Linked DNA regions of Mus musculus: region 1 is reported to be linked to region 2. The links are microRNA targets in miRTarBase. Many come from high-throughput screens and were not tested one by one. Region 2 holds a microRNA gene; the other region holds the end of a gene's coding sequence.
Evidence for each region. Region 2 holds the annotated microRNA mmu-miR-5120 (UUUGGGGCUGUGGUGCCACCAGC, at 2,457-2,479, shown strand). A microRNA usually pairs through its seed, bases 2 to 8, with sites in the 3' UTR of a target mRNA and lowers its output. Matches are read on the target gene's strand: a 7mer-m8 pairs with bases 2 to 8, a 7mer-A1 pairs with bases 2 to 7 and ends in A, and an 8mer does both.

Region 1 (4,396 bases), not on the chromosome of region 2:
TCCCCAGCACAGGGCTCTGCATGTAAATGGTAAATGGCTGTTGTAAGTTCTTTTGACTTTCAACTAGACAGAATGAGAAGAATATGTCCAGTGGCTCGCTAAGCAACAAGAGTCTCTTACTTTTTTTCTTGGTTATCTATTGTTGAATTTGAGTATGATTAAACTGCAGTTCCTCCCAATGTTTTCTTATCCCTTCATTTATGTGGGTCCTTAAGGGATATTACCATCTTAGGCACAGAGGACTGCTTCAAGTTTGAATTTAAGTCACACATCTAATTATGAACACTAAATGAATTTTGGTATACAAACTGAAGTCTGTCATAGATTTTTAGCTCTTAAAGTTTATTATTAATAATATAAGCACATTCATTTTTCTTAAAGGGCAGCATTGAGAATTGTACATATAACACATTATGAATAGAAAACAAGTAAATTTTTACCTTATAAGAATAGCTGATACAAAAATAATTCACCTGAGAATAAATTCTCTCACTTTATGTAATATGCTATTTCAAGGGGAAAGATGAGAACTCAATGTTAACAATATTAAAAATACATTAAGAAAAAGCATTTAAAAGCATTTGCTATTTAAAAAAAAAAAAGTCCTGCGTTTTGAATGCTACCTGAAAATGTAAGATGGCATTGTAACAAATGTGAAACGCACGATCGGAATGAGACGCTGAGTGACCAACAAAGAACCGGGAAACCAACACTCACCCTAGTAAAATTAACTGTGCTATTCATTTTCCTAGAAGATATTCTTAAGACTAGTAGCAAAGCATTGTCATATCATAACTGGTTATAAGTATCTATCCTTGTCTTAATAAAATGTAAGATCTTACAGAGCCGAACAGTTCATCCTTCTACCCAAAGAGCCCACTCTGAAACGCAGTCACTGGAAGGTGTGCTTAAAGTATCGAAACATGTTTTAACAGAGAAAACCAAAACTGGCTACAAATAATCTCTGACAAATTAAAGTTTTGGGGGAAAAAAAAGAACCCTGCTTTTTCCTAAGAACAGCATGGAAAGCAGGGAAGAGCCCACAGAAGGCAAACCTCCCAGAACGCTTTCCACTGCTTCCTCCTGACCGGCCCCTCTGCTGCAGACAGCAATGCCTTCAACTCGGCAGAGTCTGCCTTTGTTCTACTCTTACTGTTTGGCCACAGATGGAAAATATAAGGCAGGAAGGTGACGCTGCAGTTTGTTTTCATTTGTTGCTAACAAATACACTTGTTTCTTTACCTGTATTGAAAAGAAACAAAGTTCTGAAAGCAATAATTTAAGATAATTTAAAATAAATCCATGTATAAAACCAAACTATCCACTGTAATATGAATGAACACACAATATAGAAGACTAGACAGTGCAGTCTCGACTTTCATTCCCTAGGAAAATTATATTTTACACTGAGCACACACTGAGCAATGCTAATAGACAGTGACCAAGTCTATATGAGAAAGAAGGCGATATGGCCTGTGTTCACCATCTCTATGAGACAGTTCTGTCTTAGGAGGGCCAAACGCTTTTAAGACACAAATGAAACCTACCCTTTTCGGTAACTGTCCTAGTAAACTATAAATGCAGCTTGTTTGTTTGTTTTTAAGGGTATGTGTTCTAGGTTACAGAGTTACAAAAATCACATCCCCCCCAAAAAAAGGCCCAAGGTACTTAAATTCTAAAAGATAGCTCTTCAAGTTTACGGCACCATTTAGCAATGACTTGCTGAGAAAATACAATGTGCAATTTATAATTTATCAGCAAAAATAAAGATTTCATCTTAAATACATCTTGACTATATTGGTCATGCAGTAATCATTAATTAAATGATTAATTAAATGTAAGATCCTTAAAGGATCCAAAATTATAATTTGGTATCAGGAGGCAAGCTACTGCCAATGAAACCTTACAAGAACTTGGGGGAGGGGCGTGTCATAAAATCCAAGCAGACTTGTAGGATGGTTCTATTACATTAGAGTACCTCTGAGATACGAGACTACACAGATGCCTTTAGGAAGGTGGAAAGAAACTGTCAAAGCAATAGAGAAAGTTGCCAGCCATGTGCCACCTTGTACTGAGAAAGGAAAACTTGAATTAGCCACTAGTGCCTAAAGTCACACATTTTACTACCCAACAGGACTAAAAGTTCATTAAATCTTCCCAACATTAAATAATTAATAACTTCACTGAAAGCTTGACCATTGAAAGTTGGTAGCAAGCCCTCTGTTCTTGCTATTGTTCTTTACGTCTCTGATGCAAAAGTCACACCACAATATATGTTTTTACAAAGCTAACACATATACAACAGCCTGAAATACAGTATCAACTACATCATATACTTGTATACCTGTCCATATGAGTCATAAAATCAAATATTTCTAAGATTAATTATCATATTTCAACTCTGTCACAAGAGTGAAACTCTAATTTTTATTTCTTAATTTAACCCTTGAAAGAGCTCCTATATTCTACCATGTTCTGAGGTGACCTTTTAAAGGAAGGTATATGCTGACCTACTTAAAACTCAAGAGAGTCAAGGAATCAAATTTAGTAATAAAGATGGTTATCCATTAAATGTCTCATCTAAGAATAAACTTAAATGAGCCCTGTATGAGGAAAGGCAACAACGCGCTCTCTCCCAGCTCGCAGTCGGGTGTCTGGAGGGAAGTAGAGATGAACTGGCCACCTCGACAAACAGCTGTCACTGCACTTTCAGAGACCTGGACTCTTACATACTAAGACTCTAGTCAGAGTCTTTCTGTGAATAACGATCACCAAACACATTTGAATTTTAATGTAGACAAAAGACATACAACCTGAAACATTTAATTGCCCATATCTGCAGTCACTAGACTGCGGCTTCCCTTTATTTCCTGTGACCAACGACTGCCACCTAGTGGACGTTACTTCTCAACGGTTCCACATTTACACAGGCCAACTTCCACTAAGAGCTTCTTTTAGACATATCAAAGGGAAAGCCAGTTTCTGCATTGCTTTGTGTCTCTCTTCTATGTTATTAGTCAGGCACTGGTCTTTTTAATTAGCACTGGGAAATTACATAATTATGTAACATAGTATAAAATTTAAATATTATTCAGAATTATTCTTTTATTATTTCTTTAAATCCTAAGTTGAGAAATATTGTTTTTGTGAAACGTGAAGGTAGGCATATAGACTACCTTCAGATATAAACATGCACATGGACAATTACACGCAAATTTATTGAAAGAAAATCCAAACCATAACCATGGTGTGTTAATTAAGGACTTTAAGAAATTTCCAAGTGCTTTCATTTTTTTTAATAACTATTCAAGTAATAAGCTTTTAAAATCAAAGATAAGATAAAAGAAGAAAAAAATAGAATAAAAAAGAATAAACCAACTCAGGGTCGGTAGGCTGGGTGAGCATAAACATTCAAAATACTACTCTATCCTCCTGCGTCCTTTCCCACCAGAGAGTGCTGGCCAAAGTCCCACAGCTGTTATCTTCTTCCTCTTGCTCTTTAGTAAGTTCTACAAAAACCTAGGTAAAAGGAAGAAGGAAAAGTCAACTACTGTATCATTCAGAGGACTCTTAACTAAGTCAGAAACGATACAATGCCGTAACTAACATGTAACAAGTATCAAGGGATTTTCTAATATTGATGCTATTCAAACAAAGCAAGGTATGCCCAGTAGCTACAAAGACAAACACATATTTAGAGGGTTAATACATTTTCTGATTAATATATCAAGTAGTAGTGTCATAAAATAAATTAAAATTGTTTAAACAATTTCAAGTATTCTAATATAAAATAATGCCATGAGTCTTTTAAATATTTAATAAGATAAACAAAAGATGTTCAAGCTTAACAAAATTAAATGTACTTGAATTAACTGTTCAATAGTATACATATATATCAAACCATCGCACTGTAGTCAATAAATATAAATAATATGACTATTCAATTAAAGATGTTTTAAAATGGAACTGAACAAAAAACTAAGAGGAAGCTAAAGTTGCAATTCCAATTAAGTTATAATTTGAGGATGGTGAGATGGCTCAGCAGTACCTTTTATCAAGCCAAAGACCTGAGTTCAGTCACCAAGCCACATGGTTGAAAACTGACACCACTAAAATGTTGTGGCACTTGCACATCCACACATGAAACAAGTAAGTAAATGTACCTTAAGTCTATAGTTTTAAATGTCTATAATATGGGTTGGCGTCTACACTCTAAGCCTAAGCAATTGCTACGAGGTACAGTCAACTGTAACCTTTTCTAATATAACCTTACGGTACCTGTTCCAGGGTTGCTTGAGAAAAGCTGTATTCTTCAATGGCAAAAGTGCGTTTTGCTATTAAAACATAAAAATGCATTTTACTTAGTGATATTTTTAAGGAGTGAAATGGCAACTAG
Region 2 (4,396 bases):
CCTTTCTCCACCGGGGATCAGTGGTCGGTTCTGGATACATGTGCTGCTCCACTGAGCTGCATCTGCCCTTACAGCCTGGGTTTCCCAGAACCTCTGTGGACAGGTCACGGCCTTGCATCTGATCAGGGTGCCTCTGGGCTCCATGCTGAGATGTCTGCTTCCTCTTTCAGACCACAGAGTATTCAGCCATGGCTTCACTGGCTGGAGGCCTGGATGACATGAAAGCCAACTTGACGAGCCCCACCCCCGCTGACATCGGGAGCAGCGTTCCAGGCCCACAGTCCTACCCTATTGTCACAGGTGAGCATACCTAGATGGAGATTTGGGGGTTGTTGGGGGAACAAGAGCGAGTGAGAGAGCAAGAGAGAGAGAGAGAGCAAGAGAGAGAGAGAGAGAGAGAATGGGAATAGGTCTGTGAGGTGGGAAGCTGTCCTTGGTGCTTTTGGACATGACTGGCCTCTGCTTTAATGGGGTGAGGTGACAGACTGCTGGGGACACAGGTTGTGGATGAGGTGACATGGCTGCACACTGTTTCAAGTCACCAAGAGAAGACGGATCATACTGTCAGAGGGGTCCCTGTGGTGGGGCCAGGCACTCCGAGGTCTGGAGTTTCTCCCTCTCATGAGTCAGGAAAATCTTTTGGTTGACATTAACTTCCAGGAGTAGAGAGACTTTTTAAGACACCATTGGCGTGTCAGATTTCCAAGCTGAGGCTGAGGACAGAAGGACTAGGTGGTGCTAGGTATATGCCAAGCAGCTGTCTTTCCTGGCAGCCGCCATGATCACCATCAGTGGTGAAGAGTACAGGCCTCAGGCTGGTGAGGCAGCTCAGCAGCAGTGTGCCGCCCAGCATGTGCTGGGCCCGAGTTCTAGCCCCAGGACAGGCCCCACTTGCTGCAGGGTTCCGACCTGTTGTGTGTCAGTCAAGCAATCTCCAGTGAGTTGTGTCAGGATTCCAGCTGTGGTTTTCTCATCTGTATGCTGGGAACAGTGGTGATGGCTATTGTACAGGACTCTTATGATAATGGCTGGGTCCCCACCTATGAAGAGCTTGGGCTCTTGCCTAGTATAAAGCGAGCACCCAGTAAGTGGATGTGTCAGTTGTGACTCCCCAGGATCCCCTCACGCTGGTCACTGGAGGACTTGCTGCTGCAGGGGGAACCCCTTCTCCAACCCAGCACCATGGAGCCCCGGAGCAGTCCCTGAAGCCAGTTCTGGGAGGGTGTCTCACTCAGGAGGCAGGAGGGTCTCCAGAATATGGAATGTACAGACAGTGGGGACTCCTGGGCTACCCTTGGGCTGGAGCTTGGGATCCAGATAGAGATGGCAAGACGTCCCTGTTGGCTGATGGACATACCCTGAAGGTAGAGGCAGAGCCAGGAAATTCGCTTGTGTTAGAGTTTGCAGAGGAGGGATGGATGAGGCAAGACCTGAGGCCCAGGGTCCCTTAGTGACCAGACTGGAGGCCTGTCTCTGAGACCTAACGTCTAAGTCAGTACTGGGCTCAAGCTAAAAGCAGCTGAACCCTGTCTGTTAGTCTGGGTACCACATGAGGGTCAGATAGAGCAAAAGTGACTTGGTCCTTGGTGCATCTAAGTTGGGGCACAGTCGTCTGAGACGTGGGGAGAAGGTGTGTGGAAGGGGTGCCAGCCAGTGAGCTGCAGCCAGTGAGGTATTTCCTGAGGTCCCCTGCGGGGTTCACCAGGGACCTCAGTGACAATGTTCCCATTATACAGGTGCAGAAGCCAAGCTCAGATGTGCCCACTCTAGAGTCACCTTTAGTTTTCTAGAACCCTTGTACTGTTTTCAAGGAACAACAGACAACTGAGGAGGTACAGGGAAGGCAGGGGAGCCAGCTTGGATCAGCTCAGCTTCATGGCCTCTGTCCCTTCGCTGAGTCTCAGGCCTTGTGCTGGGTAGCTCAGGGGAGCACTGAGAAGTGACTACTGTTACCTTCATCTCCATTGCATAAGTGAAGAGAACTCGCTTCCTGAGGTCACAGCCAACGAGTGGCTGTACGCACTCCAACAGGGCCTGTGTGCTGTCACTGAACCATGGAGACTGCCAGAGGGTCCGTCCAGGCCTGAGACCTCCTTGCTATTTGCTTTTGGATGCTTTTCCATCCATAAAATAGTTCTGATCTCCCAGGGTCTTTGTGGTACTCACATGAGATCCGGGAGGAGACCACACTGGAGAGGGGAAGTTTGGGGCAGGATTTAGGAAATGGGTTTGGGCAGGTTCTCATTTAGGTGGCTGATAGTCCAGTGAACACCAAGGCTAACTCTTGTCATGGAAATGAGAAGCAGGCTCCCTAACCAAGGCTAATCTAGCCTTTGGCAAATCTCACTGAATTTCATGGGGGGCTTTTAGAAAATTGGAGCCAAGAGTTAAAAACAAAAACAAAACAACAAAAACCCTAGCTTTCTGACTTCTCAAAAACGTAGAAGAGCTGGTCCTTTGGGGCTGTGGTGCCACCAGCTGTGACAGAGTGGAGCTCAGTGGCAGCAGCCCCTTCAGACAGGCTTCCATGGTCTGCAGCAAAGGCCTCCTCATTCACGTTAGAAGGTATGTATGGCAAGGCTTGTGCGTTGTACCCAGATCCAGAGCTGCAGCTAGAAAGGCCATCTGGGTGCTCCAAGGGCTCGATCTGCAGAAGCTGCCTGGCGCCACATGGATTGGTTTTCAGATAAACCCTGGAGGAGGAGAGATTAGCTTGAACTGATTTGGATTTCTTCATCTGAAAGTCACATGATACACAGAAATGGAGGATAAGCATCCCTGACCAGTCAGCGCTGTGCTTAGTATGAACACCAGGCACATTCTAAAGTAGGGTGTGGCCACACATACATGTGCTCAGTCAGGAGGCTGAGCTGGAGGGTTGGGAGTTGGAGGCCAGCCTGGTCTACATAGGAAAACTCAGTTTCAAACCACAAGAACAAGCATTCGCAAAAGGAAGAAAAGGAAGGCATGTTCTAACTGTCAGACTAGTCATTAGCTTCCTTACAAATCAACAGTAATGAGCACAATAGAAGACTGAGACCTTCAACAGCAATATATACAAACCAGAGAATAAATTTAGAACTCCGTAAGTGACACAAAGGAATGAGGAGGTGTTCATTCCTAGACTGACTGTCAGAGCTCCATCCACTCCCCACGTAACCTCTTACCTTAAAGCAGTCCCACACAGACACCAAGAGACTTTAAGAAAAGTTGTCAAAATGGTGCTAAGTGCTGGATAAATAGACATTTAGGCATAACTAGAGAGGTCCTAAAGTAAAGAATTAAACAGATCTTCTAGGACATTCCAAAATATATGACCAGGAACAAGATGACTCAGCGGATGAAGAGCTTGTACCAAAGCGGGATGGTCTCTCTCTCACATGCACATTAAATGGAAAAACATTTTAAATAAAAATAAAAGCACACCAGGGCCCCCAATGGAGGAGCTAGAGAAAGTATCCAAGGAGCTAAAGGGATCTGCAACCCTATAGGTGGAACAACAATATGAACTAACCAGTACCCCGGAGCTCTTGTCTCTAGCTGCATATGAATCAGAAGATGGCCTAGCCGGCCATCAGTGGAAAGAGAGGCCCATTGGTCGTGGAAACTTTATGTGCCTCAGTACAGGGGAACGCCAGGGCCAAGAAGTGGGAGTGGGTGGATAGGGGAGGGGGGGTATGGGGGGCTTTTGGGATAGCATTGGAAATGTAAATGAGGAAAATACCTAATAAAATTTTTTTTAAAAAGAGCACACAATAATGCTATAGTAACTGCAACTATTGTAGAAGCCGAGGTTTCAGACACATGGCCAAGGTGGACAGTGGAGAAATTGTCCAGATATATGTGGTCAGATCCCTGCTTCATTGTCTCTATGGAAACAAATAGGTTGTGAGGTAACAGATATGCTAATTAGCCAGATTTAGCCATGACACACTGTAATTTATATCAGAATATCACAATGTACCCCATAAACATGTATACTTATGTAACCTTTAAAACAAATCCCCACTTAGCCAAGACTTTAAAAATTAAAGCTATAATAAACCAGGACCAAAAAAGGGAAAAAATTACAATCCTAGGGTAGAAAAAGTCCTTTAAAATGTTTCAAACATTTTAAAAATGTTAAAAACATTTTAACACATTTTGAAAAGTGTTAAAAATGTAAATCTTTTTGTATGTAAAAACACCCAAAAGCAAAACTAGGGTGGGGGTGTAATATATATGGTAAACATTAATTTGTTTAATATCTAAGGAGCTTTTGTGTACACACAAAAGATTGCTAGGTACTATTTTTATATGCGTATGTGTGTGCCTGCTTATCTGTATTGTACTGTATGTGGCAAGGTGCCCAAAGAGGCCCGAAGAGGGTGTCAGACCTCCTGGAACTGGGGTTACA

Region 1: miRTarBase lists Abca5 as a target of mmu-miR-5120. Seed matches in the 3' UTR shown: 7mer-A1 at 980-986.

What each region holds. Positions count from the first base shown.
Region 1 is chr11:110,269,048-110,273,443 of GRCm38, forward strand. It overlaps Abca5 (ATP-binding cassette, sub-family A (ABC1), member 5), which reads right to left. Exons shown (of 39, transcript NM_147219.2): 38 at 4,279-4,334; 39 at 322-3,519. The coding sequence ends at 3,412. Among named protein-coding and RNA genes, the nearest start is that of Abca6, 19 kb to the left of the region's middle.
Region 2 is chr4:44,605,619-44,610,014 of GRCm38, reverse strand. Mir5120 (microRNA 5120) reads left to right here and starts at 2,447; the gene lies at 2,447-2,524. Pax5 (paired box 5) reads left to right here. Exons shown (of 10, transcript NM_008782.3): 7 at 171-300.